Notamacropus eugenii: one gene and its partners. The protein of the gene in region 3 purifies or fractionates together with the protein of the main gene of each other region. This does not show direct contact. Links are inferred from orthologs where the notes say so. Each region holds a gene or a part of one and is shown on either strand. Other genes may lie near its edges. The genes, in order: ANAPC7, CDC27, NEK2 and ANAPC1.

Region 1 (7,286 bases), on a different chromosome or scaffold from region 3:
TCGCCCTACTGTGATTCCCCAGCACCTGGGATATCCAGACCACTGGATCCTAATCAGACCGTAAGGGTCCCCAGCACAGGCTCACCTACCTCTGGAGCACTGCTCTCCCTAAACCAGTCCAGCCTGCTGTCTCTTCATCCCACATTTTCCTACCTACTCAAGCCAAGGCCTCCTTCTTGGAAGCTGAGATATAAAGACAAACAAAGAAAACAAGCCTTGCCATTAGGGACCTTACAGGAAATGCAATATGTACTTAGATTAGGAAATACAGGCACTAACAAATGGAAAGATCAGGAAAGGCTGGTGAGGTGGTATCTGAACTGAGCCTTTAAGGAAATTAAAAATTCTGAGAGATGGAGGTGAGAAATGAACCCATTCCATATATGCAGGACAGCCTAGGCAAGGGCAGAGAAAAGGGAGATGGAATGCCAAACTTAGGGAACAGCAATTAAGACAGTTTAATTGGAACAAAAACAATGTTAACGCTGAAAGTGAAATAAACTGAAGGTTGGCTGAGACCAGACTATGGAGAGCTGTAACAGCCAGAGTGAGGAGCATGAGAGATAGAAGGAAACCACAGCAGATCCTAGGGGAGGACATAAGGGATATGCCTTGGGAATACCGTTTAGGCAGCTGAACGGAAGCCAGAACAGAGTGCAGAGACTGGATGCAGGAAGAATCATTAGGAGGCTACTGTAATAAGAATAACAGCAGTCCAAATTCATACAGTGCCTCGCAAATAGGACCTCATTTGAATCTTACAACAACCCTGGGAACTAGATGCTTTTATCTCTATTTTACAAATGAAAAACCAGGGCAGACAGAGAGAGGTCAAATGAACTGCCCAGCATCATACAGCTAGGAAGTGTGTGAGGCTGCATCTGAGCTCAAGTCTTTCTGATTCCTGGACCAGAGCCCTATCCACTTCCCAACCCAGCCACCTCAAAGTATTAGTATTACATTCAACAATTTCTCTCACATGCTGATTGAATTGTTTTTCTTTCTTCTAGTTTAAAGATTATGTTAATAAACTTCAGAATAAGAGTACAGTTTTCAAAAAGAAGTATCCACTAGAACACTCGTTGTTCGAATGCAAAGTGTACACTTGCCAAAAAGACTTTTATGGAGAACTCTCATGGGGCAGGAGATCGCATAGTGATCAGAAGAAAGGATACAAGGGCATTCTGAAGAACTTTGGATTTGACTGTGCAACATGGAGACACTGGCACAGGACCGCTCAGCATGGCGTGCCCATAACAGAAAAGGTGCTGTGCTCTATGAGCAAAGCAGAATTGAGACAGCACAAAGTAAACGCAGGATATCCACCCCAAATATTCACAGGAACTATCTGTGCCCAACCTGTGGTAGAGCATTCCGAGCCTGTTTTGGTCTGATCAGTCACAGTAGGACACACTGAAATGTCACTTTATCATGGTGATGTCATATTGGTCCTCTTTGAAGAGGAAGGAGAACAACCAACCATCCACTAGGTGAATGAACTTAGATTTCTGCAGGACAGAGTTACTTTTAAAAAAAGGTCATGAGAACATTCTGCACCAGCTGGTAATACAATGTCATCTAGGTCACCGTCAACATACGCGCAAGAAAACTCATGAATCTGTACCTTTATGTTAGATTCAGCACTGTTTCCTAATAAGATGAGAAAATATGTTTAACTGCAAAGGAAAAAGCAGTTGCGCTTTCAGACGTAATTTTGCTGCTCGCTTTAATTGTACCTTGTGCTGGCTCTAGGATCACCAGGAGAAAAAAGGAGAGATGTGGAAATTCAAACTATGAAACTTAATAACCAAAGGTTCCAAACTCTTTCCCAAGAGTCTTCTCCAGCCGCCCCGCCCCCGCCCCCAGCCTACTCCAGTATAGACTCCTACCAAGGGGTATAGACTCCTACCAAGGGGTACAGAAGCCCAACCTAGGGCATGCCCTGCCCCACCCGCTATGCCAAGCCCTGGCCCCCACGCCCCAGCCACGCACCTGCCCGGAGCCCCACCTCCAGAGCCAGTTACACCCAAGGACCCGCCCCTTTTCCTAGTCACGCCCCTTTCCAGTGCTCCACCCCCGTTTCAGCTCAGACTACCTGAGAACCCTAACCGCGACCCCGCAAGCCCCGCCCCCAGGCGCGCACGCGCGTCCAAATCCCACCCGCCCACTTCCCAAGGCCCCGCCCTCTCAGGCGCGCGCTCCCTTACCCCGCCTCCTCTCCCCGTCCAGGCTACTCACTGACTCCGCCCCTCTTCCGGCCCAGGTGCGCACTGGCCCCGCCCCCTCACTCTGCCTCCCCTTAATCCCGCCCCTTCAGGCTCCTCCGCCTCTCCCAATTCAGTTGTTTCCCAAGTCCCCGCCCCTTCAGTCGCGCGCCTCTTAACCCCGCCCCCCTCAGCCTCGCTCGCAACTTCTGGCCCGCGCACCCCCTAGCCACACCCCCTCAGGTGCGCGCCCCTGACCCCGCCCCCAGGGGCCCTCCCCACTCCGTTTCCCTCCCCCCACCGGACCTTTCACGCTGGGCCGCACTCACGGGTTGTTGTTGCTCATAGTGAGGAGGAGGCTGCTGAGGAGCCGCACGTTGGAGTGCAGCCCCGCGGCCGCCATGTCCCGCACGTGGTCGATCACGTTCATCTTTGCTTTCGCGGAGGGGCCGCGAGGACCCAGCGGCGGCCGAAGCGGGGACCGGACACCGGCAGGCTCTGGGGGGAGGGGAGGGCAGCGGCGACGAGCGCGGCGAGCGGCACCTCAGCGAAGGCGCCAAAATGGCCGCCGGCCCGGGGTCCTCGTCAGGCCCCCTCGCTGAAACGGGCGGGAGACTAGGACGACGCCTGTGTGAAAAAAAAACCCTCGTTCCTTCTGGGAGTACTATCACAACGTATTATGTATGAGGAAAAAGCAGGTATTTTGCTCCTACCGCGGAAGTTATCGTCATTTTCAGCTCCTTCAAAGGAATACAAATTTCTAAGGGCAAATGAAATCTTTTCATCAGGCGCGCACAAGACAACCCTAACCGTTGGGGCTAACCGCGCTTGCGCGAGTCATTGTGCCACGTGCTTTCCGCTCCATCCTTCTCCGTCCCGCTGCTGTTCTGAGTCCTGGCCGCGGTTGTGAGCCCCCAGCCTCCCACCGAGCACCCAGGCTCCCGTCTGCGTTCCACGGAAGACCCGAGTTCAAATCCGACTTCAGACACTCGCTCGCTGTGTTCCCTTGGGGACGTCACTGTCCGCCTCTGTTGCCTCATTTGTAAAGCCAAGCAGCTAGGTGGCTCCTCGGCTGGAGCCCCGGACTTGGAATCGGGGAGACCAGATTCACCTCTCCTCTCGGATACCGACTAGCTGAGTGACCCTGGACAAGTCCCCTCACCTCCGTTTCTGGAACTAAAATAGGGATGACAGCTTCAGCAATGAATGAGAGGGCTTGGGCTCCATGATCTCAAAGATTTCTTCCAGCTATTCTGTGCTAGAAAGGATCTCAAAAGTATATTTGCAGCCCATTCAAAACACCAGAGAGCCTAGGAATAAATGGAGTTTTCTTTAAAGTGATCAGCAGTATCTATCTAAAAGCATCAGCAAGCATTACAGGTGAGGGGATAAGCTAGAAGCATTCCCGGTAAGTTCAAGAGTGAAAAAAGGATGCCCATTATCAGTTCAAGAGTGAAAAAAGGATGTCCATTATCACCACTATTATTTAATATGTACTAGAAATTTTGGCGTTAGCCATAAGAGAAGAAAAGGAAGTTGAAGGAATTAGAATAGGCAATAAGGAAACAAAATTGTTGCTCTTTGCGGATGATAGGATGGTATACTTAGAGAATCCGCTAAAAAACTACTTGAAAAAAACAACTTTAGCAAAATTGCAAGATTTAAAACACACTCACAAAAATCATCAACATTTGTATTCATTACCAACGAAGCCCAGCGACAGGAGATAGAAAAAAATTCCATTTAAAATAACTGTAGACAATATAAAATGTTCCGGAGTCTACCAGCCAAGACAAAGCCGGGATCGATACAAAAACAATTACAAACACTTTTCCCACAAAGTCAGATCTAAACGACTGGAAAAATGTCAGTTGCTCATAAGTAGGTCAAGCTAATATAATAAAAAATGACAGTTCTACCTAAAATTATATTTGCTTGGAAGATAGCTTATCGGTTCACCTGTTAACAGATATTTCAGTTAAGAGTTTCAGCTTTCCTCTCCGGTCAAAAACCAACCTATCCTTCTAGAGCTAAATTCAGTAACTCCCACTCTTCTAAAAATGGCTCAAGAGGAGAAAGTGAGGCTGGTGACCTTGCACAGCCCTCCCTCAAAATCAAGTGCAAGCCATGTCATTTCTCTGATGTCATGGTCTTCTCCTAAAACGAAGGATGAACACAACCATAACTCTCCTAAAGATCTCCGTGACCATCCCAAGCAGAATGAATGTAGCTGGGGAAAGGACTGAAAAAGTCTGTGGTACAGGAAAATGCCCTGGAGTTAGAAGACCAGTGACTAATTCAACCACTAACTCTTTATCACATCTCCAGTAGAGTATAAGCTACTTAAGGGCGACAACTATTTTACAGTTTGTATTTATATCCCCAGCTCTTGGCACAGGGTCTTGTATTTGCAAAATAAATGCTATTTTCAGGGACTTTCAAGGATTGGAAGAGATCTCCTGACTCTCCAGCTTACTTTCCCACTCCTCCCACCTCCAAAAGTCACTTCACCTCTGTCTGACTCAGTTTCCTCAACTGTAAAATAGGAATAACAGTAGTACCTACCTCATTGTCATTGAGATGTTTGTGAAGTGCTTAGCCCTTAGTAGGCAGTTCATAAATACTTGTTTCCTCTTTCTCTAATTGGTAAATTCTTGCCAGGAATCTCTATTTGGGGAAGTACCCAAATCAACCCTGCTCATTCCTAACCTGCCTCGGCTCCTGGCTCTCCAGACAACTTTTCCATCCAGCCCCTACTAGGGAACATTGCCCCTTCCCAGCTTCTCGGCTCCTTCTTCTGCGTTGTATTCTTAGCATTAGGGTGCATGTTCCTTGAAGACAAGGACCTGTCTTTCTGCTTCTATTTGCATTTCCAGAACTTAGTATATCATATGCACTTAAGTGTTTGGCTCTCCATGGTCATCTGGTCCAACCCATGGATCAATCATCAAACCTCAACTTGAAACTCTCCAGTTGTAATAATGGAAACCCATTGTCTCCCAGGGCAGTTTCACCTTTGGACAGCTCTAGTTTTTAGGAAGTTTTTCCTTACTCTCCAACTTATAATCTTAGAGTAGTTTTGGGGCACTGACCTCACAGTGACTTGCCAATGATCACCCACCCAGAACTCTTTAGAGACAGAACTTGTCCTCAGGTATTCTTGACTCTATCCAATTTTCCACATAGCCTCTTCCCTTCCTCACTTCCCCCTGTGCCTGCATATTCCATGAAACCTGTCATTATCCTCCCATATATCCATTACAGGAGATCTGCCCAATCAACTGCACGTTCTGTTGACATTGTGTGAATATTAAATGGAGCACATGAACTATCATTGGTCATCCTTCAAGCTTCTTTGAATATTCCATCTTTTATTTTTCCCCATGAACATGGGCTTCTTATGACATTGAGCAGAAATCTGCCTTTCTGCAATTTCTATCCAACGCTCCTAGTTCTGGCCTCTGGGGCCAAACAGAACAAGGCTAAGCCTTCTTCCACATGACCATCCTGCAAGTATTTGAGGACAGTTCTCAGGTCCCCACTGAGAAGTCTCTCTTTTCCATTCCTACGTCCATCAAACAATCTTCTTATGATGTCTATAATCCTTTCATGATTCTCTTTTAGACTCACTCCTGATTGTCCATGTACACCCCAAAACGTGGTACCCTATGCTGAACATGACACTCCCTCCAGCCATTGCTTGATGAAGGCAGCTAGGTGGAACAGTGGGCAACATCCCTGGACTTGGAGCCAGGAAGACCTGAGTTCGAATTCTGACTCTGAACCATAAGTGCTGTGTGACGCTAGCCAAATTATTTAGCCTTTCTCAGGGGCCATACTTCATCAGTGAAATGTGGAATAATAAATAATAATAAATGTGGAACGACCACCTAGAGTTGTTGTAGGAATAAAATGAGATCGCATTTGTAAAGCATTTTGCAAGCTTTAAGGAACTATGGAAATACCAGGTAGTATTATCACGCCTCTCAATGCAATCTAAAATTAGATTTGCTTTCTCAGTTTCCAAGTCTCACTGCTGACTTATATTGAGCGTGAAGTCCGCTAAAAACAGCCATTTTCTTTGCATGATCTGTCGTTTAGCCATGCCTCCCCCAAACTAGACTTTTACTGTTGTTTTGTTGAATCTAAGATTCTGACTTTAATGTATTAGGTTTAGCTCACGGTTCTAACCTCTTGAGATCTTTTTGGAAACCTTTGTCATTAGTTTGTTTTCTCTCTGTCCCAGGTTTGTGTCATCTGTAAATCTGATAAACATGGCATCATCCCTAAAATACAGAATTTAAATAGCTTTCACAAAATCACACAGATAGACAGTGTCAGAGCTGGGTCAAGAATTTGAACTATTTGGCATTTGAAGCCTTTTATAAATTGGCCCCTTCCTACCTTTCCAGTTTTTTTGTACCTTATGCCCCTCATCATGTACTCTGAGATCCAGTGACACTGGTCTCCTTGTTCCCTGAACATGACTCTCCATCTCCACACTCCCAGCAATTTCATTGGCTGTCACCCATGCTTAGGATGCTCTCCCTCCTCAATTCTACCTTGAAGTCGTTAAAAATCTCACCTCCTGCAAGAAGACTTTTCCAGTTCTCCTTAACCCTACTTCCTTTGTTCTGAAATTATCTCCTGTGTATATCTTGTCTGAACATAGTTATTTGTATGTTATCTCCCTCAGGAGACTGTGAGCTCCTTGAGAGTAGGAACTGTCTTTTTCCTTTATGTGTATCTCTGACATTTAGCACAATGCCTGGCACATGTTGTTGCTTGTTCTTTGCTTTTGAAGATGACCGGTGATATCCTGGGGTCATGTCTTGACTCCTGAGTGAATTGAATTTAAGTGAGGCAGAGCTGCAAAAAGTCCTCAGCCTCCCTCTCTCCTCCAGAGTCATCGGACAAAAGTTGGGATAACTGGTGATGGCCCAGGATGCAATAGATGACCTTGGCATCTTCGATGTCTGACCAAGCCCCAAGGTCTCCACAGCAGTTGCTTCAGCAACCTTCATAGCCTTTGGAACAAATTGTTTTCATCTACCCATTCCATCAGGACAGTCTTCACATGCT
Region 2 (8,160 bases), about 80 Mb from region 3:
AGGATAGGATAGTCAATGCTGTCAGATGCTGCAGAGAGGTTAAGAATGGTGAGGACCAAGAAAAGGCCATTAAATTTAGTAATTAGGAGATTATTTTGTAAAGAGCAATTTCAGTTGAGTGGTAGGAATGGAAGCCAGACGGCAAGGAGCTGAGAAGTAGAAGTAATGAGTGGAGACAACTTTTCCTAGGTGTTTAGTGGTGCAAAAGTGGAGCATGAATGACTTGAAAATATAATTTAAAAAAAGGAAAAGATTTGTTTTGGTAGTTTTTGCTTTTTTAAAAATTATAAGATCAAGTGAAAGTTTTGGGTTGTTTTATATTTTTTTTAGGGTTGGGGAAGAGTAAGGCATGTTTGAAGACAGTGAGGATAGATCCAGCAGGTAAGGGAGGAAAGCTTGAAAATTATAGAAAAGGGATGATTGTGGGGCCAAGCTTGGGGGAGGGCCCTCTTCCTCTGGAGCAAAGGAGTACAGAATTAGGGATAATGCTGGGCACTTGAAGTGCAGTAGAAATGGGAAGAATAGGGGAGCTCATGATAGGTAGGCTCATTTGTTTCAGTGACATATAAAGTCAGATCCTCTGCTGGGGGCAGGAGGGTAAAGTTAGCTTGAGGACAGCAGAGGTCTGTAACAGAGACTGTAGGGAATGGGAAAGCAAGTTAATCAGGAACCAATAAAAGGTTTCTGTAAAGCAGTAAAGAGCCAGTTGAGATGACATAAGAAATCTTGGTGGACTACTCAAAACTCCCATATATGCCTCCCTCTATCTTTACAAATAGCACCTTTATATGTGTATTTATCTTTCTGCTGTGCTACTACAAACTCCTCTTCCCTGCTAATTCCAATCTCAGCCCCTGCCTCAACCTCTAGCACCACCCCATTTTGACTGATCCTCATTGGCAGTAGCCAAAGATGTCTGCTCAATGCTCCTGACCATACCACCTAATCAAAGGTTGGTAGTGAACTCATATTGCTCTACAGATCAAATCTTAGAAAAAACCTCACCTGGACAAAAGACCTCTCTGAAGTAAAGGGCAGTGATATGTTGGGTTTTTTCACCATATGAATTTAATAAGCTACTGGATTCTAAGGCTTAAGAAGGCCTGAAGTGCATCATTGATAAGAAGGTTTGGATGGAAAGGAAGGAAAATTGGTGTGTATCATCCAAGGGTTCTGGATCACAAATTTCCTCTCCTTTGTGTAATTATTAAGTAATAGTGGCACTTCAGTAATGACACAAGCCAATCACTTTAGGGGAAAAAAATAATAGCTAACATTTACATAGCACCTAATATGTGCTAGAGGTATGTTAAGCATTTACGAATATTATCTCATTTGATCCTTACAACCTTGGCAGACAGGTTCTAAAAAAAATCTTTTGAGGCTAGAAGAAGCAAATTTATAACTCAGTATCAGCATAAAATGTCTTGGATGAAATGAATCTGAAATGCAAATGAAGTAACAGAAGCAAGCATATACTCACTAAACTGAAACTGGGCATAGATAGCTATCAATTCTTTTATAGGCCCCCAAAAGGCAGGACTTTTAATTTAAGCTTATTTATTGAAAAGAGAAATGCTAGTTGGTCAAATGAGAAAATATTTTTGGATTTTCACTTACTGCACTAGGATATCTTGTATATGGTTACAATTCTAAATTAGAGCCCCATATCACATTGACTCAAACACTAAGGGCTCTGAAATGAATAAATGGGGATGACATTATTTAAATGTTTACTGTTAGATTCATTTGTTGGTAGTTAACAGGTACATTAATGGTAATACAGAACACTTCTCAAAACCATAAGGATACTACCTAGTCTTTCCTGACCATCATCATCAGCAGCAGCAGCAGCTCTAAAACCATAGAGAAACCCACGTCACAGGTCAACTCATTTGACATAATGTAACCCCCCCCCCCAACCCCCAAACCTGGTGCATCACCAAGGCACAAAGGACTCAGTTCCTTCAGAAAGCATAGCAAAAAATGATTTGGCACTGCATCGTATTCTCAAAATCCAAGAGGATTTCTTCTATTCCATCCCAAAAGAACAGTGAACATGAAAAACATACCTGATTTGGTAATGACAGTGAAGATTTAAGGGTTTAAAAAAAGATGGGAAAGGTATTCGAATTTTTTTTTAAATTCCACTTTCTGTATGTGCAAGAGAAAAAAATACCCCGTGATCCCATCATTATCTGTGATAGAAAAACCTGGCATAGATACCATCCCCACCCTGCCCTGCCCTGCCCTACTGTGGCTGTTAGGCAAGTGTCTGTATCTTATACCTGATTCCAGCCAGGCTAAGCCACATGTCCAGTGGTGAATTCACACTGAAATCAGAAAGCAACAGGAGCTGGGGAAAGGCCAAGTCACCCAAAGGCCAAGCTCTCCTTTAAGACACCATTCACTCCCTGCCCCCCTGCCCCAAATCTGCAACCGCGCCAAAAAAAAAAAAAAAAAAAAAGCGCAAACCATCCCCAAACTCGCGGGTTCCCGGGGGACGCCTAGCCAGCCTGGTGCCAATCCTCCTCCCCCTCCACTACAGACACTACCCGAGCCGACCCGAGCCGACCCTCCCGCCTGCAGGACTCCGGCTCCCTCTCTCCCTCCCCGGTGGCGTCCACGAGGCGCCCCCGGGGACTGACAGGAGGGGCGGGCGGGGGCGCGCTTGGGACCCCGTCCCCGCCCGGGGGCTCCCGGGGGCGTGGGCCCGGGATCCGGCGTCCTGAGGGCCGGGCCGGGCCGGTCCGCAGAGGAGGAGGAGGAGCAACGTCCCGGGGCCTAGGCCGCGCCAGGCCCTGCCCGAGCCGAGCCGCAGCCCGGCCCGGCCCGAGCGTGGCCTCCCCGCCGCCACCCCCGCCGCCGCCGCCGCCGCCGCCGCCTGGGGCTGAAGGGGGCGAGGTCCTCGTTACCTGGACGGGTTCCTGCAGCACCGTCATTCTTAAGGCTCAGGCCCGCTCTCCGTCGCGCCTCAGGCCCCCCCGTAGCGGCTCCGGCCCGGCCCAGCCCCGGCTCATTTAAACTCAGCAGCGACCGTTACCGGGGGATGGGGGAGGCCGAACGGCTGCCGAGTCCACCCGAGTGCAGCACGGAAACCGCCGAAGCTAGGGCTAGCCGGAAATGCCCGAGTTCGACCGGAAAAACACGAAGGCTGGCGGAGGGGCAGAGCGTAGCCGGAAACGCTAGAAGATTAGCCAAAGGAAAACCGAGGCTGGCTTAGACGGAGGAAGCTCACGCTCCCCTCGAGCTCAGTTACCCGCGCGCTCTTCGGCCAATCAGCTGCAAGCAGGCTGGCCGTGAGCCGCCGGGCGGTGGGCTTCGCCGCGTGGTCGCGGCGCCCGCCCGCTGTAGTCCCTTTAGCTCGGTGCTTTCGCCTCATCCTTGCTGCCCGGGCCTCGGAGGCCCAGTGCGCCATGTGGACGTACGGAACCGCGGGCTGTAGCGGGAGTGTGGGCCAGGGCCTCTCGTGGCCAGCACCACCTTGGTCGTGTTATTTAAGCTCCAGGCCCTCGGCGGCTTCGTCGGTTAAAAGAAGGGGATTCACTTAGACGGCTTCGGAGGTCTCTTCCGGTCCTGAATCTGGGAACCTGGACAGGAGCGACCATGTGCAGGTGCGGCGGAATCCTTGCGTCAAGCCTTTAAATGGAATTGAACCAGCCTTTATTAAGCGCCTCGGATGTGCAGATACGGCTTAGGCCTTGGGAGCCTCCACAAGCTGGGTCAGGCCCTTTACAGTTAATTCAATTTAACAAGCCATTTATTACACACCCACAATGTGTCTTAATCTGTGGCTTAGTTTTGGAGGGGAGGGGCTACGCAAACCGAGTGAAGACCTTATTAAGCACCTACTGTGTTCAGGGCACTGTGCTAGGAGAAGGGGAAAATAAAGACAAAAGGAAAAAACCATTTCTGCCTTTCAGAAGCTTGCATTTTGCTTAGGAAGAAGGGAAAGAGGATACAACAAACATTTACGTAGAAAAATAAGTAGGAAATAATTTGAAAAATGATATCCCAAAGTAGAGGAATTCATAAAAGCTTCCTTTCTTTTTTTATAAGTTCACTCTAGGCTTTCAGGCCAAGGGGAATCGATTCACACTAACCAAACTGACAAGAGACAGATTTATCCACTAGAATACCAAATTATTAATTTGCACTGGGAGAGCTATCTGGCAAGGTAACTCCAGTTATTTACTCCAGAGGCCAAATTACAGATTAGAACACTGCTTGATAAGCATGAGAGCAAAATGAGTTGGTGTCCTTAAGGAATATTTCCTTCAAGCTATGGTGGCTTGATAAGTTGTTCTTCTCAGTTCTAGGGAGAGATGTATTTGAATAAGAAGTTTCTAGTCTTTGGAATCAGAATGCTCTTCCTCCTGAAAACGCATTAATACATTCTTACTTTTTTTTGCTCTCTGTGCCTGGAATGCACTTCCCACCTCAACTCTGTCTCTTAGAATCCCTGGCTTCCTTCAAGACTCAGCTCAAGTACCACCTCTATCTGACCCTAAGGTTGTCTGCTGTTAAGATTGCTTTCCCTCTATACCTAGCCTTATAAGTGGCATAGAGCACTGGCATTGGAGTCAGAAAGAGCCGAGTCCAAATCTAAACTCAGGCTTGGGCAAGTCATTTAACCTCTGTTTGCCCAAGTTTTCTCAACTCCAAAATAGGGATAATAATAATCCTTACTTCCCAGAGTTACGGTGAGGATTAAATAAGATAATTTTTGAAAAGCATTTTGCAAACCTTAAAGAGCTACATAAAGTATTTAAATGTATATTGCTTCATCCGTTAGAATGGACAAATTTTTGCTTTTTTTGTTGTTTTCTCAGTGCTTTGCATGGTACCCAGCACATAGTCAGTGCTTAATAAATGTTCATCAATTTATCAAGATTATGCAGATTGACACCTTCTTTTTATGACAGCTTTACCTTGGGCATGTTACATTAGATAGATCGTGGCTTATCTTACCATAGTTACATGAAAGACAGCATGGTATAGTAGATGGAGACCTGGGTTTGAATCTCAAGTTTGATACTTAACTAATTGTGTGACTATGAACTAGTCATGTCTGAGCCTGAGATACTTCATTTGCAAAATGCCTATAATGTTTACCTTATAGGAAAGATGTGAGGATCAAATGATGAAAGACACTTTGCAAACCTTTCAATACTATATGAACATCAGTTATATTTCTTATAGATAGAGATGTAGTCATACCTGTCAGGTCAGCTAATATGACAGAACAGGAAGATGATAAATGTTGGAGAAGATGTGGGAGAGTTGGAACACTAATTCACTGTTGGTGGAGCTCAGCTAATCCAACCATTCCATAGAGTATGCCAAAAATGCGCATACCCTTTGACCCAGCAATATCACTTCTAGGACTGTATCCCAAAGAGACCATAAAAATGGGAAAGAGTCCCACATTACCAAAATATTTATAGCAGCTCTCTTTGTGGCCAAGAACTGGAAATTGAGGGGATGCCCCAATCGGCTGAACAACTTGTGGTATATGAATGTAAAGGAATACTATTGTGCTATAAGAAATGATGAGCAGGAGGACTTCAGAGAGGCCTAGAAGGACTTATATGAACTGATGCTGTGTGAAAGGAGTGCATTTGTTGTGATGGGCTAAGTCTACCAGAAAAATTCTTCCCACATTGTGGTTGTTACTGTGTATTATGTTCTCCTGGTTCTGCTCCTTTCACACAGCATCAGTCCTTGATGGGGACCTAGGAGATACCCTTTACAAATCACCTCCTCCATAAATGGTTAACCTTATAAATCATTTGGTGTTGATTCTTCTGGGTTTTAACCTCATAGTGATATAAAATCTTGTGAAGTTCTGGGGGTGCCTCTTGTTTGATTCTTCCACTAATCCACTGACTATATGTAAAACACAAGATGCATATAAATTATAAATTGTGTGGAAAAGCAAATTGGATGTAAAATGCATTTGTACATGCATATTACTCTGCATTGTGAACTATTGCAATAACCATCTTCCTGCCTCAGATCTCTCTCTACTCTAACATATCCTCTACTCTGTTGCCAGGGTGATTTTTTCTAAAGCACAAATCTGGCCATGTCATCTCTTGGCTTAGTGAGCTCCAGTGGTTCCCTGTTAACCTCCAGGATCAAATGTAAAGTCTTCTGTCTGGCATTTAACACTCTTCCAAATTAATCTCAGCACAGTGCCTGGCACGTAGTATGTACTTAATAAATGCTAATTGACTTGACTTTATGATCTGATTTCTTCTGACCTTTCTAATCGTCTTATTATACCTTATTGGCCTCCTCGAATTTTTTCTGCTTCTCACACACAACACTCTTGTCTCTATTTCATTGCACTTGCAGAAAGCCTTTCCTTATCCCCTTGTTGCTAGTGCCTCTTCCCTCTCAGATTACCTTCTAGCTACTCTCTGTCTCTCAGTAGACAGAAGGCAGATAGATTAACAGGCAGGTAGATAGATATGTAGGTAGATAGATAATGATGTCCATATAGTTACTGGAAGGTTTGCGAAGTATCTTACATCATTTGATCCTCACATATCTTTCCTATAAGGTAAGTATTATAGGTATTTTGTAGATGAAGCAACTCAGGCTCAGAAAATTGACATGATTAGTTCATGGTCACACAATTAGTCAATATCAAAGTTGAGATTCAAACCCAGGTCTCTTTCCACTGTACCACGCTGCCTTTCATGTAACTAAGGTGGGATGAGCCATCATCTATCTAATATAACATGCCCAAGGTAAAGTTGGCATAAATAAGAAGGTGTCATTCTGCATGATCTATTGGTAAATTGAAGAGCATTTATTAAGCACTGACTATGTGCTGGCTACCATGCTGAGTACTGAGAAAACAACAAAAAAAGCAAAAATTTGTCCAGTCTAATAGAAGAAGTAATATACATTCAAATGGTTTATGCAGCACTTTAAAGTCTGCAAAATACTTTTCAAATATTATCTCATTTGCTCTTCATCATAATTCTGGGAGATAAGGACTGTTACTATCCCTGTTTTGCAGTTGAGGAGACTTGGGCAAACAGTCTTTCTTAAATGACTTGCCCAAGTCACATAGTCAGGATAGATAGATAGATAGGTAGAGGGAGGGAAGGAGGGAGGGAAGAGAGAGAGAGAGAGAGCAGCTTAGGATAGTTTTAAGCATCCTGTATGTTATATATCTTCTATGCACATAGATATTTTTATGTTGTCTTCCTCATAAAAATCTGAGCTCCTTAAGGGAAGGGACTGTTTGCCTTTGTGTCCCCAGTGTTTAGCACAGTGCTCAGCACATAATAAGCACTTAATAAGTACTTGTTGACTTACTGATAGATTAAGACATTGAATTGGCTGGGAATGCTGAGAGGCAGTGTGATACAGTACATAGTGCTAGATCTAGAGCCAGGACAATCTAGGTTCAAATCCTGCTTCTCACATTTACTAACTATGCATGACAATATGTGTGTTTGTGTGTATGTGTACACATGGGTGAGTTTGATGTATCATATGTATAATTGGAGCAAACTGCTTGACCTCAACAAGCCTTAGTTTCTTCATTTAAAATAAGGATAATAATGCCTCTGGTACTTACCCCATATGGGCTTGTTGGGAGGCACAAATAACATAGTATGTATAAAGCACTTAGTAAACTTTTGAGTGCTATGTAGATACCAATTATTATGGGTGACCTATTCAGTTAGTTCACTACTGCATGTATTGTGTTCAGATGCCACAAATAGTGAACTGGGCCCAGAATTGAACAGGATAGGGCTAGCTGGCATTAAATTTGGGAAATTGCACTGGGATTTCAAAGATCTCAAGTTGTTTATTGCTAGAAAAGCCTACCTTTTTCAGACCGATATTCTCCTATAGATGTTAGATGGCTGCTAATCATGAAACACTATGATCTCAAAATAAAGAGGTCTACTTGTTGATCCTTGGTTTCAGCATTCTAGCTGCAACCTTTCATCTCTTAGAATTTTTGCCTTTCTTAAATATTCACCTTGCTCCTACAGAAACTGAAGCCACTAAGTCTTGATAGAATGAAACCTGTGAGTGGACTGTGGTTCTGAATTGTCCTTTTTCAAAAAAGCAGGATAGATAAAAGGGGGTGGAGTGGATGGGGCAGTACTGTACATTAAGAAGATTGAC
Region 3 (7,762 bases):
TTTTCATTACACATATACACATACACAATGTTTTGCAGACCATAAGGCACTACATAAATGTTAGCTACTATCATTATTTTTTAAGGAAACTGAAAGGCACATAGACTGACATATACTCGTAGGTACTCAAAGAACCAGGAATTGAAACCAAGTCCACTGCATCTAAATCAACTGCCCTTCCTATTGTACCACCTACCCCCAATTTCAAGGGCTACATGCAATTAATCTTGCACACGGCTATCTGAGATGATCCCAGTAATCTGCTAATTCTCCAAACACCATATTAGCTTGTTGACACCCCTTCTCTTCCAATTTCAAAGGAAGAAGCTCATACAATTTGGGGTCAATGACATCTACCTAGTTTTCCTCCCAATGGATTATTTTGGTTTGCAACTATAGTAGGAGCTGTATTATTCAGAAGCAGATGTAGAAGAACCCTGTTTGCTGACAGTCACTGCTGTGAGAGATGCAGACATTAGAGGTTGAAGAAAGTATACTCAGTAACGGGACATAATTTCCTTCCTTCTTTACATTTTTATAAAACATCTACCTCAAACAGAAAGGGAGTTATGGTTACAATAACCTGTGATAATACAGATTTAAAAGGAGTCTCAAATTCAGGTTCCAGTGGTCATGCCCACTTCCCACTTCAGAAAACAATGTTCCATTTCAGAGAACAGCACAGATGTCACATCTTTTATCTCAACTGTGCTTGATTCTGTGCCCATCCTATTTCCCTGCCATACTGAAACTCAAGTTTTATAATTATGGAGAGCAACAATCATGCCTTTTTTTCTTTTTTTCCACCTTTATACCTACAACCAAGCATGGTGACTTGCACATGGTAGTGTTTTAGATTAGAAGAAACCTTAGAAGCAACCTACAATCAATTCCTTCATTTTACAGATGAGGGAGCTAAAGCCCAGAGAGGAGAAAGGAGATTTGCCCAAGGTCACACAGGGTGAAGGAGCTGAGATCCCAACCAAAGTATCTTATGTGGATCACAGGACTTAAGGGTTACAACTAGAGGGAGAAGGAATGGAATAAGCATTTATACAGCGCCTACTATGAATCAGGCACTGTGCCAAGCACTTTGCAAACATCTCATTCAAACCTCACAACCCCCCCAAGAGGTAGGTGCTATTATCATCCCCCTTTTACAGCTGAGGAAATTGAGGCAAACAGAGGTTAAATGACTTGCCTAGAGTCACACAGTCAGTCTAAGTGTCCAAACGTCGAAGACTGATATGAACTCAGGTCTTCCTGACTCCAGACCCAGCAGTCCATCCCCTGCACAACCTAGCTGCTAGATAGATACACAAGATCATGTAGTCCAATGTTCTCATTTTACAGGTGAAAAAACTAGGGCCCATAAAAGTGATTTGGGAGGCCCTGTTGCATGATGGAAAGTGATGGACACAAGAGTGAGGGGCGCTGAGTTGAAATCCAGATGTACTGCGGCTACACACAACTTTTGTGTCCTTAACTTTCTGGGCCTTGGTTTCACCATCTCTGGTGCTCAAGGGATGTTTGCTGAAATTGGTGCCACTACTAAAAACTGGTACTGAGGACAGTCGTACAGCCAAGATGAAGAAAAGAGAAAAAGAGGAGGAAAGAGGAAGAACAGGAGAAGGCGGAAGACAGAAACAAAAACAGACAGAAGGAAAATAAAAATAGAAAGAGACAGAAACTGAGAGACATACGGAGAAACAGAAAAACTCAGCCATAAAGAAAAACAGAAACGAAGGCAGACACACCAAGAAAGAACACAGAAATGGAAAGAAAAACAGAGGCGGGGAGACAGAAAGAAAAACTGATGGAAACAGACACGGTAAGAACTGGAGAAAAACAGAAACAGGCAAAAACAGAAGAAAAACAGACTGAGGAAAGAGACAGAAAGACACAGCAGGACGGAAAACACTGACACCCAGACAGACGGACAGAGCTAAGTGTCAGGGCAGTGACCCGGGCCACATAATGCATACAGTAATGTATACTGTAGCTGTCTGCAGGAGCCTTTATTAGACTCCACGTGTTAAGAAGGCAGACAGCAGGCGCACACACTTTGCACGCACCCCGCCCCCCCAAAACAGTGCATACAGTGGGCTCTCAGAAAGCCCAGGCCTAAGTCGTCGGCCCGCCCCGCGGATACCGGTTCAAACCCAACTCCGAGTAAACAGTTCATCTACAAAGGGGAACAAGTGCGGCCGGCGAGGCGGCGGGAGCCCCGGAGAAGGTGGGGGACTTCCTTCTACCCTACTAAGGTGGCGCCCACGCCTTCCCCCTTCGGGGGAACCGACCTAGGTCCTGGACGTCTCTTACAGCCTGCGGGTGCCAGCGACCCGGCTGGGGCCGCGGAGAGGTCCAAGGGCGAGTCCGAGGCGCGGCGTGCGGCCCAGGGCAGCGGCCGGAGGAGGAACACGCGGGCCTCCAGGCTTCCTCCCGCACCGCGGCGGCCCGCGGGGCTGAGCAGGAGCCGCAGCTGGGGGTAGGGGTGGGGGCGGAGGGGGCGGAGGGGGCGGTTCCCCTTCCTTCCCAGCTGGCGGCCGCAGGGCAAGGGGGCGGGGAAGGCAGCGCACGCCTCGGCCGCGGGCCTGGGCCCGGGCTCGGGAGGAGGCGCTCGCTCTCACCTTGCCGTCGCTCTTTCTCCGTATCTTCTGGCAGCGGCCGTAAGAGCCGGTACCAATAGTGAAGAGCACTTCGTAGTCCTCCACTCGGGAAGGCATCGCTCCCGATCGGCCGCCGCCGCCAAAAATCGGCCCAGAAGCACAAGCCCGACACCCAGGCAGTACCCGAGAGGAGGCCGCAGGGGCCTCCGGTGCCGTTTAACCGTCGCGGGCTTTGCCTAGCTGCTTATTGGCTGACGGCCCGCCGCCCCGCCTCCCTGATTGGACAGTTGCGAAATAACAACCTTAGCATCTTGGGAAAAGGGAGTCGCTAAGCAACCCCGAAGGCGTCGGATTTCAGAGACTGTTGAGAAAGGGGGCGGGGTCAAACGAAGGGGCGGGGCTCAGCGAGCGGCTCTAGGCGGATCCTAGACCCAGGTCTGTGCACACTGCCTTCTGACCTCTGCACACTGCCCTTATCGCTTCTGCACACCGCCGTCCCCCCCCCAGCTAGGCTGGATTCTGCTGTGGGTGTGGCTATGGTGATAGGCTGGATGGGGTGGGGAAAGGGGCGGGGCTTGAACGGGACTGTAAAAAGCTGTCAAGTCTTAGATCGGAAGCCCTAAAGACAGCAGGAACAACAATGTATACGTTTGGTCTAGGGAAGGAGAGACACGTTCCGCCTGGGTCTTCAGGACACCTAAACTGGATCAAATCAAACCTAGTATGCGCTAAATAAACCTAAGTGTGCTAGGTAACCCCGAACCTCAGGTGATCTAATAGGCGATATTAGATAACGTGACAAATAACAGCCTGCGATGGGATCTGATAAGTGTGCTAAGCAGGTGTGACGTGTTTCTGGATTCATAATGAGTTATGCTTTGATGGGGAGCGAAATGTTCCTCAGTGAAAACTTCGCAAAGAGAGAGAATCAGAAGATCTGGACTCAAATGCAAGACCCATGGTTTGATGTTGGGATGGGGTCTTAGTGGTAGAAGAGCACAGGTTCTAGACTCAGAAGGACCTGAGTTCAAATCCCGTCTTTGGCGCCTATTACTTATATGACAGCTGGGCAAGTCACCCTGTGGAATCTGGCTTCCAACTTGATCGTTCAACCGAAAGTACTCTCTGGTTTCTTCTGTGCTAGTTATAACCGCCAAATCTAATGGTCTTTCCTCATTCTTATTTGACTTCTCCATGGCATTTGACATTGTTGGGTCTGTTGGAGCCAGTTTGACAAATTGTGAAATTTACTCCTTAGAAATTGGAAAATGCTACAGATCAGAGCTTGATTTATTGTTCAGTTGAATTGTACATGGAAGAAAGCGATGGAGAAGATGCTATAGAATGCAGATTAAATTTAAAAGTGTTGCCTGTGCAAATTTTTTTAGGAGAACCAGTTGTTGAACATTTACCAGCACACCCATGATACCCTTTTCAATTTCATATTCTCCTCCTTCTAGGTTTTCAGGACACTGCTCTCTCCTGCTGCTGCTTCTACCTGTCTGACTGCTCCTCAGTTTCTTTGCAATCACACCCAGATGTTCTCCTAAGGCTGTCTCCTGAGTCCTCTTCTCTTTTCCCTCAAATGCTATCTCTATCTATCTCACCAGGTGATTTCAGCTCCCATAGGCTCATAATCATTTCTATGCAGATGATTCCTAGATCCATTAGTCCAGTTCTAATCTCTCTCTTGAGATTCAGCTCCTTTTTTTTCTCGCACTTAATAGTTTTTTGAGTTTTTTTTCCCCATTGCACTTAGAGATAGTTTTCAACATTCAGTTTTATAAGATTTTGAGTTCCAAATTTTTTTCCTTCCCTCCTATATCAGACAGCAAGCAATCTGATATAGACCATACACATATAACAATTTTAAACATGTCTCCACATTAGTTGTATTGTGAAAGAAGAATCAGAACAAAAGGGAAAAACTATGAGAAAAAAACAAAAAAAAGTGAAAATAGTATGCTTTGATGTGCATTCAGACTGCATAGTTCTTTCTTTGGATATGGATAGCATTTTCCATTTTGAATTTGTATTTTTTCAATTTTCCAATTTGAAATTGTATTAGATTACTGTATGGCTGAGAACTACGTCTATCAAAGTTGATCATCATACAATGTTGCTGTTACTGTGAATAATGTTCTCATTTCACTCAACATCAGTTCATGTAAGGCATTCCAAGTTTTTCTGAAGTCCACCTGCTTATCAATTCTTATGCAACAACAGTATTCCATTCCATTCATAGACCACAACTTGTTCAGTCACTCCCTAATTAAACCCCTCAATTTCTAATTCTTTGCCACTACAAAAAGAATTGCTATAAATATTTTTGTATGTGTGGATCCTTTTCCCTTCTTTATGCTGAGAAAAAGTCCTAAATGCCTTTTGGGCTTCTCAAATTGTAAGGTATAATTGTTTTTTTCTCTCAAACCTTCCCTTTTTCCAAACCTTCCTTTCAGTAATAAGAATACCACTCTCCTCCCAGGCTCTCAGGTTCTGTAGCCATAGTGTCATCATGGACTCCTCATCTGTGTTTCATCTGTTTGCTGAATCTTGTCATTTCTACCTTCGCATCACTCTCTCCTTCCATTCACACAGTCTCCAGCCTAATTCAAGCTCTTATCACCTGTCACCTAGACTACTGCAATAACTCTCCAATTAATTGATCTCCCTTTCTTAAATTTCTCCCTTTTTTAAATCCATCTTAACTGCTAAAATGATTTTCCTAAACCGGAAGTCTGCTGATGACACTCCCCTATTCAATAAATAAACTCCAATGAGTGGTAACTTATTACCTTCTGTAATAAAAGTGCTTTGTCATTCAAAGATCTTTATAACCTGCCCCTTCGTATTTTTCTAGTCTTCTTACATTTTTCTCCCTTCCCTGCATTTTATCATCCAGCTTCACTGACCTGCTGCATGTTTCTCAAACACAACACCCTGTCTTCTGTCTCTCGGTCTTTGAATTGGCTGTTTTCCTTCCTGGAATGCTTTCCCTCCTTATCTTCACCACAGTTTTTCTGACTTCCTTTCAGACTCAGCTCAAATCCCACTTACTGGAGGAAGTCTTTGCTGGTTTCACTTCCATACCCACACAACCTAAGTGTTAATGCCTTTCCCTCTAAGATTAGCTTCCATCCATTTTCTGCATGTATTGTATGCGTCTAATAATTAATCTTTGGGGAAGAGGGACTATTTTTCCTGTATCCCCACAAGGAATAACTCACTGTAGGATCTTAATGCTTGTTGACAGACTGATTTAGTCTCAATTTGTCAACTGTGTAACCTGAAAGGATTATGAGTGGTAATAAACCAGACTTTCCCTGAAAGTCAAATTACATTCATAAAATGAAAGGGTTGGACTATAGCCTCTGAGGTTTCTTCTAACCCTCTCTCTAGCCCAGTATAATCACATTAACTCTCCAGGCTTCAGTGTCCTTGTCTATAAAATGAAAAGGTGGAACTAAATGATATGTAAATTCCTTTCTAATTCTAAATGATGGATATTCTATGATGGTATTTGTGTTGGATGTTGAAGAATCAATAAGGTTTTGGTTTAGTCATAAGATTGAAAAAAAAAACAGTTCAGTGAAAAAGTCAGTAAAATAGAGTGTCTAGTATCCAAAAGACTCAAGAACCATTTAATACTATGATCTTCAACAAGTTTTGACATCAGATAGTTAGTGCAGAATTCTAATGTCAGCTGGATGAAGGCACCAGGAGGCCCCGGATTGTAAAGGTTCATCTGAAAAAGGATTTAGCGGGAAGTTGCGTAAGTATTCTGTCAGAGATGCCAATTGCTCTTTTGAAACCCTTTTCAAAGGTCCCAACTCTGCAAATTCCCACCTGAGGAGCCAACTGGGATGCTTAGGAAGATAATTTAGTTATTTTTCTCTAATGATGGAGCCTTTACTCTTATGAAGGGTTGTATAACAATATTTTCATTATTAAGGGATAAGAACTTCATCTCTGATATTTCACTGATAGAGGGGACTCCTCTGGGCAAGGAAATTCCTCTACTAAATCAGTTTAATATCTTCTCTCCATTCCTGAACAGATGCTTAGAGCACTCAGAAGTTAAATCACTTGTCTAGTAAGGCAAAGCTAGAACATGTCAGAAGTGGGACTTCAAACCCACTTCTGGTTCCAAGCTCTGTTATCTATCTACTACACCAAACTATTTCTCTTATTATATGACAGAAAACAGAGTAGAATCATTCTTAAACCCTTTATAATTTAAAGGCTATCTTGATTAGTCCTGTGGATATGGAGTACTCTGGCTGTATACTTGTCATCCCTCATTCTTACCATGTGACCAGCCTGTCTTTTCTCCTTATTGTTTCCTTAATGATCTCTTTTACTTCTGTCCTTTTCTACTTTTACCCACCGTGCAGTGCCATGACTTTCTTCATGATACTCATTTTTAATTCATTGGAGACTGTTCCATTCCATTTTTCATTGACATACAACAGGACCAGTAGAATGTTGACATCAAAAAGATGGGCCTTTGTTTGCAGGTGAGACTTGGGGACAGTAATGGAATTTTGCAATTTTCTGAAGGCAATTTAGCCCACTTTCTCCTGTTCAACTGTAGGCCAGGCTGTTTTGTCTATACTAGATATAGGTACTAATGGACTAGCTCTATAGGTTGTCTATAATAAGCTCAAAGAGATCTTATATTTTTTACATTTTCAGTCAATTGTGAAATAGTAAAAAGCCTGCTTGTCTCTTACTACTATCCTCAATAAGGATGCCCTCAATACATGTATTGATGACTTATAGAAAAATTTTATATGGGTGGAAGAATAAGTAGGTAATATTTTCTCAATCACCTTTCTTCCACATTAAAATGCTCAGATTATTTTTTCCACACTTTTGGTATTTCCTCTTATTCGTATACATGTCGAACCCTCAAAGTTCTCACAATTGTGCCTCCTCCAGCATTTCTATATAAAGTTGGTACAATCTGCTCTTTCCAGTTGTGTTCTCATTACTGCCTTTTCTTTTGTTGGTCAGTCATTTTTCAGTCATATCCAACATTTCATGGAAAGATTTGGGGTTTTCTTGGCAAAGATACTGGAGCGGTTCGCCATTTTCTTCTCCAGATCATTTTACAGATGAGGAAACTGAGGCAAACAGGTTTAAGTTATTTG
Region 4 (7,935 bases), on a different chromosome or scaffold from region 3:
CAAGTATTTGAAGGACAATACTATAGAAGAAGGATGGGATTTGTTCTTAGTCTTCAGAGGACAGAACTAAAAACAATTGGTTTAAATTGGAAAAAAAGGAAATTTAGTCTTAACACAAAGAAAACTCCCTAACAACTAGAGAAATCCAAAACTGGAATAGGCTGCTGGGGAAGCTGTCAGGTTTTTTTGGAGGTCTTCCAGCAAAGACAGAATGATTACTTGTTTGGAATATTTAAAGGAGATTCTTGCTTAGGTATGAGTCACATCGGGTGACCTCTAAGGTCAATTCCAATTCTGACATTCTGTGATTCTCAGACTGGGGAAACTGAAAAGCAACTATTCCCTGTCTCTATTACAATTCAATATACTAGTTGACAAAAATACTACCAAAATAGAAAGAGTGACGCCAAGTGGACACATGTGAGACCAAGAAAAATAAAGTACTGATTATTGGAAAAGATAGGAAGTGTTGGTGAGAGATTTAGAAAAAAAAGAAAGGCAGAAAGAAAGGAAGGAAGGAAGGGAGGAAGGAAGGAAGGAAGGAGAAAAGGAAGGAAGGAAGGAAGAAAGGAAGAAGCAGGACAGGATAAGAGAGATGGCAAAAAAATCTGAACAGTGAAAAAAGAAAAGCAGTCATCCTGAGATGCCTGTGAATCTTTCAGGTTTTCAAGTCAATTGACTAGATATGTGGAACATTCCATTCCACATACAGGAAAACAAATGGAATTAGTTCAGGTATATCAACAGATTAACCACATCCAAAGCACAAAGTACTACTGACAGGACTACAGATCCTTCCAACAAAGTGATCACTTATTCTGCTGCATTGGAAAAGAGCAGCCTGAAGCAGAAAGGCATTCAGGGTCACACCATCTGAGAAAATACCAGCTCTGGAAGGGGAAAATAATATTGCTGAAATATTAAGACAAAATACATTTCTACAAATAATACAAACTGGACATTTTAATCTTCCTATTAGCTGAAAGAGCTAAGCGTGCTTTTAACCTTTCCGTGTCTCTAAATTCCACTATGATTATGCCTATGGAAAAGGCAAAAGAAAAATGGCTGTGAACTGTTGGGATTTAAAATTTTTAATTAGTCTATAATTTGGCAGTGTGAAGTTGTGGATAGAGAGTGTAGAATCTTGGAGCAAGGAAGTAATGAGTTCAAATCCTAATCCTGACACATACTTTCTCTGTGGCCATAAGTTATTGAACTAAAAAGTTGCTTATCCTTATCTATATCAGCAACTGGAGTTTTTAATACTGGTTATTGATCTAGACTAAAATAAAAAATGACATTATGTTATTAAGCTGCCCTCAGTGTAAAAAGTCTTAATGAACTACTTAATTATATAGATCATTACTTTTCTACTTCAACAGATCTGTGATTTCATCTGTGTGGATGCTACCTACAATGGTACAGATCACATCTTATCCATGCTTTCTTATCCTGAGCTACTTTGGTTCACATATTCTAATAAATAATCCACCGGAGATTCATAAAATGTAAGTGATTACTGTAATAAAAAGTAAAATATTTTTTTCTCTGATAGGGTTATGTTAAAAGTCTCAGAAGTTTTATCTTAAGAAAAACTTCTAGACCTAGGCCTAGAGCTTCATAGCAAAAACCAAGAGTTAAAGAAAAAAATTAATACTGTACTCTGTTTTAAGGCACAAGTCTTCTAGAAATAATTTTTTTGATATAACATTCTATTTCCAAGTATCTCTAGTCTAGAGAGAGCAATGTCCAAACTGGAATATCATAATTGCTCTGCATGCTCTTGGAAAGTTGCTATACCTGAAGATGATTTGAGGTAACATTATCAGGAATCTGGAACAAGGAAAATATCACAATATGTTATTAACATTCCATTAAAAATAGTCATGAAGATGGTGAAGTAAAAGCAGCATGTCGCTACAGCTCTCCCCTCCAAACCTAGCCAAATACCTATAAAAAAATGACTCTAAACAAATTCTGGAGCTGCAGAACCCAGAGAATGATGGAGTGAAATAAATCTCCAGCCCAAGACAGTCTGGAAGGTTGATGTGAAATATCTATTGTGAGCAGAGCTGCAGTCCAGTGTGATGAGCAGAGTGCAGTTCAGCATAACCCGTGCTGGCACAGGTAGGACTTAAGCAGGGACTGAATTACTGGCACCTATGTGGTTTCCAGACTTCGCAATCCCAAAACACTGAGGACAAACTGGAAGGTCAGTGGAAAAAAACCTGTTGGGCCTATGTGAGAGAGTAGAGTAGGGCCCCAGGATGGCAGAGGGGGGCAGAGGATCCTGCAGCAGTCATAGCAGCTCTTTCTGGAGCTCCAGGCCTATGGATTGTGGGGGGATTGAGCAGCTGATAATACAACCTCCCATCCCCACTAGAAGCAGAGAACTACCTTGACAAAGACCTTGAGTCAAGTAAATGACTGGGAAAATGAGTAAAAACCAGAAAAAGAATCAGACTATAGAATCTTACTTTGGTGACAAGGAAGACCAAAATATACAAACAGAAGAAGACAACAAAGTCAAAGCTCCTACATCTAAAGCCTCCAAGAAAAATATGAATTGGTCTTAGATTATGGAAGAGCTAAAAAAGGATTTTGAAAATCAAGTAAGAGAAGTCAAGGAAAAATTGGAAAGAGAAATGAGAGTAATGAAAGAAAATCATGAAAAATGAGTCAACTGCTTCTAAAGGGGACCCAAAAAATGCTGAAGAAAATAACACCTTAAAAAATAGGCTAACCCAAATGGCAAAAGAGATCCAAAAAGCCAATGAGGAGAAGAATGCCTTAAAAAGCATAATTGGTCAGATGGAAATGGAGATCCAAAAGCTCACTGAAGAAAATAATTCCTTAAAGATTAGAATGGAGCAGATGGAAGCTAATGACTTTATGAAAAATCAAGAAATTATAAAACAAAATCAAAGGAATGAAAAAATAGAAGACAGTGTAAAATATCTCACTGGAAAAACAACTGACCTAGAAAATAGATCCAGGAGAGATAATTTAAAAATTATTGGACTACCTGAAAGTCATGATAAAAAAATGAGCCTAGACATCATCTGTCAAGAAATTATCAAGGAAAACTGCCCTGAGATTCTAGAACCAGAGGGTAAAATAGAAATTGAAAGAATCCACCAATTGTCTCCTGAAAGAGATCCCAAAAGGAAAACTCCTAGGAATATTGTAGCCAAATTCCAGAGCTCCCAGGTCAAGGAGAAAATATTGCAAGTAGCCAGAAAGAAACAATTCAAGTATTGTAGAAATACCATCAGGATAACACAAGACAGCAGCTTCTACATTAAGGGATCAAAGGGCTTGGAATATGATATTCCAGAGGTCAAAGGAGCCAGAATCAAAACCAAGAATCACCCAACAAAACTTGAGTATAATACTTTGAGGGGAAAAAATGGTCATTCAGTGAAATAGAGGACTTTCAAGAATTCTTGATGAAAAGACCAGAGATGAATAGAAAATTTGACGTGTGTGTGTGTGTGTGTGTGTGTGAGAGAGAGAGAGAGAGAGAGAGAAAGAGAGAGAGAGAGAGAGAGACAATGAACATCTTCACAAATTTTTACCTGAAAATGTTATTGTTATGTCTAACTCTTTGTGATCCCCTTTAGGGTTTTCTTGGCAAAGATATTGAAGTGGCTTGCTATTTCTTTTTCTCTCCAACTTTCAGGTGAGGAAACTAAGGCAAATAGGGTTAAATGACTTGTCCAGGGTCACACAGCAAGCAAGTATCTGAGGCTAGGTTTGAACTCTGGAAGATGAATCTTGCTTGCCCAAAGACAGGGTTGTGGGGGAAGGGGAAGGAAGGAAAAAGGGAGGGTGAGAGAGCATGTATGAGAGATGTTATCTTGATTCACATCTATGGCTTTGTAATGGTAATTTAAATGGGAAGAGCTTTCCCATTCATTGATAGGCCCATGTGACCTATGGAAGCCTAAGTAACATGTGGTAGGAGGAGCTTGCTGAATAGTAGAACAGGAAGGGTGGAGCAGAACTGGGAGGAAGTTGGTGAAAGCAGTTAGAGCAGAATAGAGAGAGAACATAGGCAGTCTTGTGAGTGTTTGCTTGTGGGAAAGCCGCAATGGGGAGGAAGGCTTGGAAATGGCTTTGTCCCCTGTAGTGCTAATGTGTATTGACTTCTTGGTTACTATGATGGATTTGGCTTTCTGGTGTCTGAATAAATCTTTTTCTTTTGCCTTCTATATGGAGAGTCTGTTATACTTTGTGATTCAGAATTATGCTGGCATATTCATCATCTCCCTTGGTCCTATGAATGTTGCCTTGGAGATACAGACCTACATTCTTGGTAATTCTGCCCTTAAAAGGTAATTATAAAGTATGTTTTGTTTATGCCTCCAGTTAGATAGCAAAACTCTGTAAAAATAGGTTGGGGTTGAGTTTCTAGCCTTGTAGTAGGAAAGGTCCCTCTCTCCTGAGTTGCTCCCCTTGCATCCTCATGCTGAGAAAATTAAAAAAAAAAAAAGATTGGAGGAAGGGGGACATGCAGGAAATATCAGAATTAGATCAACCATATGTGTTTATGATTAATAATATATTTTGACAACTCACTTTTTTAACAGAATAAATTTTAGGAACATACTTAGGTGGAAGTAAGACCAGAGTGGGGTGGGCCCCATTCTTTCATTTCTCCCAACTAGCTTGTTTCTCTCAGGGCTCTTGCTATCTGGGCAAGTCCCTATGATAACACAGTCACCCAACTCTCAGGTTGTTCACTTAGATGTCATCTCTCATATTAGGGTAGCTCAACCCCACTCCCCATTTTAAAACCCATTGTTCCATTCTAAAGAATAGAACTACAGATGTCTAGACATCCAAAGATGAAACTGTTCCCATAGTTTGGTTGTTGCCATGGAATGGCTGCTGGCTATCCTTTTTCTCCTCATTCTCCTAGTGCTCCGTGCCCCAAAACTCCTATTGTCAACTTGTGACTTTCTTCCCTATGTCAGAGGGCAGAACTACACATTCTATAAGTTTTTGTGGCCAGTCAACCCTTTCCTAGGAATTGTTAGCTCTATAGGTATACCTCAGAGACCTCCCTCCCCATAACTTAAAGCAAATATCACAATAAAGTGAGTCACACAAGGTTTTTGGTTTTCCAATGCATATAAAAGTTATGTTTACCTTAATGTACTAAGTGTGCAATAATATTATGTCTAAAAAACATGCATGCCTTAATTTAAAAATACTTTATTGTTAAAAAACGCTAACCATCATCTGACTCTTCAGTGAGTCATAATCTTTTTGCCGCTGAAGGGTCCTGCCTTGAGGTTAATGGCTGCTGAAGAGTGGGGTGGCTGTGGCAATTTCTTAAACTAAAACAATGAAGTTGGCCATATTGATTTACTTTTCCTTTCACAGAAGATTTCTCTGTAGCATGTTCTGTTGTTTGATAGCATATTACCCCCAGTAGAACCGCTTTCAAAACTGGAGTCATTCCTTTCAACTGCTACTTTCTCAACTAAGTTTATGTAATATTCTTCAATCTCAGGGAATAGGGAGAAGGGAGAAAGGTCATTGGAGCTGTCAAAACACATACACACAACACTTCAAGATTTATCTGGGTCTGATTTTTGGTGCCTCAAAACAATTACAATGGCAGCATCTAAGATCACTGAATGCAGATCACCAGAACAGTTAACAATAATGAAAAAATTTCAAATATTGTGAGAATTACCAAAATGCGACAGAGAGACACAATATAAGCATATGCTGTTAGAAAAGTGGTACCAATAGATTTGCTGGATACAGGGTTGCCACAAACCTTCAATTTGTAAAACAATTTGTAAAAACAAAAAAAATGTAAAATTAGTAAAAAAAATTTTGTAATTTGTAAAAGCAAAACAAATTAAAAAACCCAAAACAAACAAACAAAAAGCTTGAAATAGTTCATAACAGATATAAGGAATAAAGCTGTACTGGAAAATGTTTTTAACAGCTAATTCTTTTAAAAAAATACTCAGGACACACTTTAAAATTTACTCTCCATGATTAACATTTTCTACAGTCTAGACAACAAAACAATAAATCAAGCTTTGATTTGTAGTTGGCTGATTTCTAGTTCTTTAATCTCTGGAATTAGTTCTTTCAAGACCTTAATCTGAAAGGGCCAGGGTCTCCCATTGCATCCTGGGCCATCTTCAGTCATCCTGATGAATATCTGACCACTAGACCCAGGTGGCTCAGGAGAAGAGAGTGAGGTTGGTGACTGCACAGCCCTCCCTCACTCCAATCAAAGTCAATTGCAAGTCATGTCATCATCCTGACGTCATGGTCCTCTTCCAGAACTAAGCACAAACACAACAAGCTGAGGCACAACAGCCCAGTGCAGAAGGTGATCCCTGAACTGGGTCTTGAAGGAAGCCAGCACTGGGGAGACAAAGAAATAAGTGCAACAGGTCTTACCCTCCAGAAGCTGACATTGTAGGAGAAGAGAGAATGGGTCCACATAGAAGCATATACTAATTAAGTATATAAGGGTAAGAGTAAGGTAATGAGGGGATGGGGGAGGGGACCAGGAAAGACCCTATGGAAAAGACGCTGTTCTTGCTGAACTCTGATGGGGGGAAGGGATTTTAAGAGGCAGAGGGAGGGCATTCCCTGAAAGGGGGAGGGGTGGCACACAGCCTGTGCCAGGGAGGCAGGAGAGGGGCTGTCGGGGTGAGGCCAAGGTTAGACCCAAGAGGGCGAGAACAGTAAAGAGGGTAACCCAATAAACCCGGAAAGGTGAAGTTGGAGCAGTTTAGGAAGGATTTAAGAGCTTAGAAGAAGGTAAGAGATCGGTGCGTTAAGCTAGCACTATTTAAATGAAAACAACCACAAGCCCTCCCTCCTCCCCCAATAAATGTGACGGCCCTGCTTCCCAGCGCGGGGTGGAGTTTCGCTTTCATAATTTTCTTTCAGGGTCGGGGGACCAGGACCAGGACTCCAGCAGCCCGCCAAGGAGCCTCAGCCCCCGCGGCCCAGGTGTGCCGGCTTTGCCCCGCCCTCCTTCTCTCTCATTCGCTGGCGGGCTCCCTCTCGTCCTCTCCCTAGGCGGATCTAGAGGGCTCAAGAAGCGAGGCGGAGCATCCGCATCGGGCCACGCCCCTTCTGGGCGCGGGGCATGACGGGACATCCAAGATGGCCGCGCCCATTTGAACCTCTCGCCCGAGCCGCTCGCGCGCCCGCCAGCTAGATCTTCAGCCCTCCCGACAGTAGAGGCACCGCGTCGCCCTCCCGCCTTCCCCGCCACCGCCACCGCTTCCTCCGCAGCCCGGGAGGGAGAGGAGGGAGGGCATGAGAAGTTGTAGCGGCAGAGGAGTCACCGCCACGCATCGCTCCGCTTGCCCGATCCCGTCTTCGCCCCGGTCCCCGCGTCTCCGGGGAGCAGCAGGGGCAGCGCCCGACGTTTCCTGGGTCACTCAGGTGGGCGCGCCCCCCAGAAGGTGCCGAGGCCAAGCCTCCGCCGGGTCCGGCCTGGATGCTCCCCTGGCGCCTTTCCCTTCCTCCCGGTGCCCTGGGCTCTCCTGTGCGCTCCCGCCAGACTCCTTTCACCCCGACAGCCGCGGCCCCGCCGTTTTCTTGGCTTTGGGGGTGGGGGACACCGGGTCTCTCGGGGCAGAGGCTGCCCAGACTGTCCCGCTTCGCCCCTTGAGGCAGAGAAGGCGCGTGTCGCCGCGTAGGGGGAGCCGGGGCCTTGCCCTCAATTGTTTCAAGTTTCGTTGTGGGGGGGAGGTTTTATGCGCAGGCAGGTGTCTCCCCGGCCAGCGCGTGTGGAGGTTCCAGGGGAGAAACTTGTAACAAGTACGCTTCCATCTTGCCCCCGCTTCCTCTGAAAGTGCTCTCTCCTTCTGAACTAGTGTCCTCCCCCCTGCCCCCTCCACGTAGCTCTTGGCTTGATCACAGAAATTCCATATATAGACA

Evidence for each region.
Region 1: the proteins of NEK2 (region 3) and ANAPC7 purify together in Homo sapiens (affinity purification with mass spectrometry; 3 studies listed by BioGRID and IntAct, with this or other methods). This does not show direct contact. The link is inferred for Notamacropus eugenii from reciprocal best matches to the Homo sapiens genes NEK2 and ANAPC7.
Region 2: the proteins of NEK2 (region 3) and CDC27 purify together in Homo sapiens (affinity purification with mass spectrometry; 6 studies listed by BioGRID and IntAct, with this or other methods). This does not show direct contact. The link is inferred for Notamacropus eugenii from reciprocal best matches to the Homo sapiens genes NEK2 and CDC27.
Region 4: the proteins of NEK2 (region 3) and ANAPC1 purify together in Homo sapiens (affinity purification with mass spectrometry; 3 studies listed by BioGRID and IntAct, with this or other methods). This does not show direct contact. The link is inferred for Notamacropus eugenii from reciprocal best matches to the Homo sapiens genes NEK2 and ANAPC1.

What each region holds. Positions count from the first base shown.
Region 1 is NC_092875.1:35,969,506-35,976,791, reverse strand, and holds the start of ANAPC7 (anaphase-promoting complex subunit 7), read right to left. Parts: upstream 3,182-7,286; 5' UTR 2,918-3,181; intron 2,832-2,917; 5' UTR 2,635-2,831; coding exon 2,534-2,634; exon of another isoform or gene 2,511-2,533; intron 2,094-2,510; exon of another isoform or gene 1,993-2,093; intron 1-1,992. UniProt on the Homo sapiens protein: Component of the anaphase promoting complex/cyclosome (APC/C), a cell cycle-regulated E3 ubiquitin ligase that controls progression through mitosis and the G1 phase of the cell cycle.
Region 2 is NC_092873.1:346,410,261-346,418,420, reverse strand, and holds the start of CDC27 (cell division cycle protein 27 homolog), read right to left. Parts: upstream 3,009-8,160; 5' UTR 2,943-3,008; coding exon 2,916-2,942; intron 1-2,915. UniProt on the Homo sapiens protein: Component of the anaphase promoting complex/cyclosome (APC/C), a cell cycle-regulated E3 ubiquitin ligase that controls progression through mitosis and the G1 phase of the cell cycle.
Region 3 is NC_092873.1:426,649,372-426,657,133, reverse strand, and holds the start of NEK2 (serine/threonine-protein kinase Nek2), read right to left. Parts: upstream 3,058-7,762; 5' UTR 2,727-3,057; coding exon 2,631-2,726; intron 2,559-2,630; exon of another isoform or gene 2,301-2,558; intron 1,307-2,300; exon of another isoform or gene 1,202-1,306; intron 1-1,201. UniProt on the Homo sapiens protein: Protein kinase which is involved in the control of centrosome separation and bipolar spindle formation in mitotic cells and chromatin condensation in meiotic cells.
Region 4 is NC_092872.1:603,639,382-603,647,316, forward strand, and holds the start of ANAPC1 (anaphase-promoting complex subunit 1), read left to right. Parts: upstream 1-4,780; 5' UTR 4,781-7,437; intron 7,438-7,935. UniProt on the Homo sapiens protein: Component of the anaphase promoting complex/cyclosome (APC/C), a cell cycle-regulated E3 ubiquitin ligase that controls progression through mitosis and the G1 phase of the cell cycle.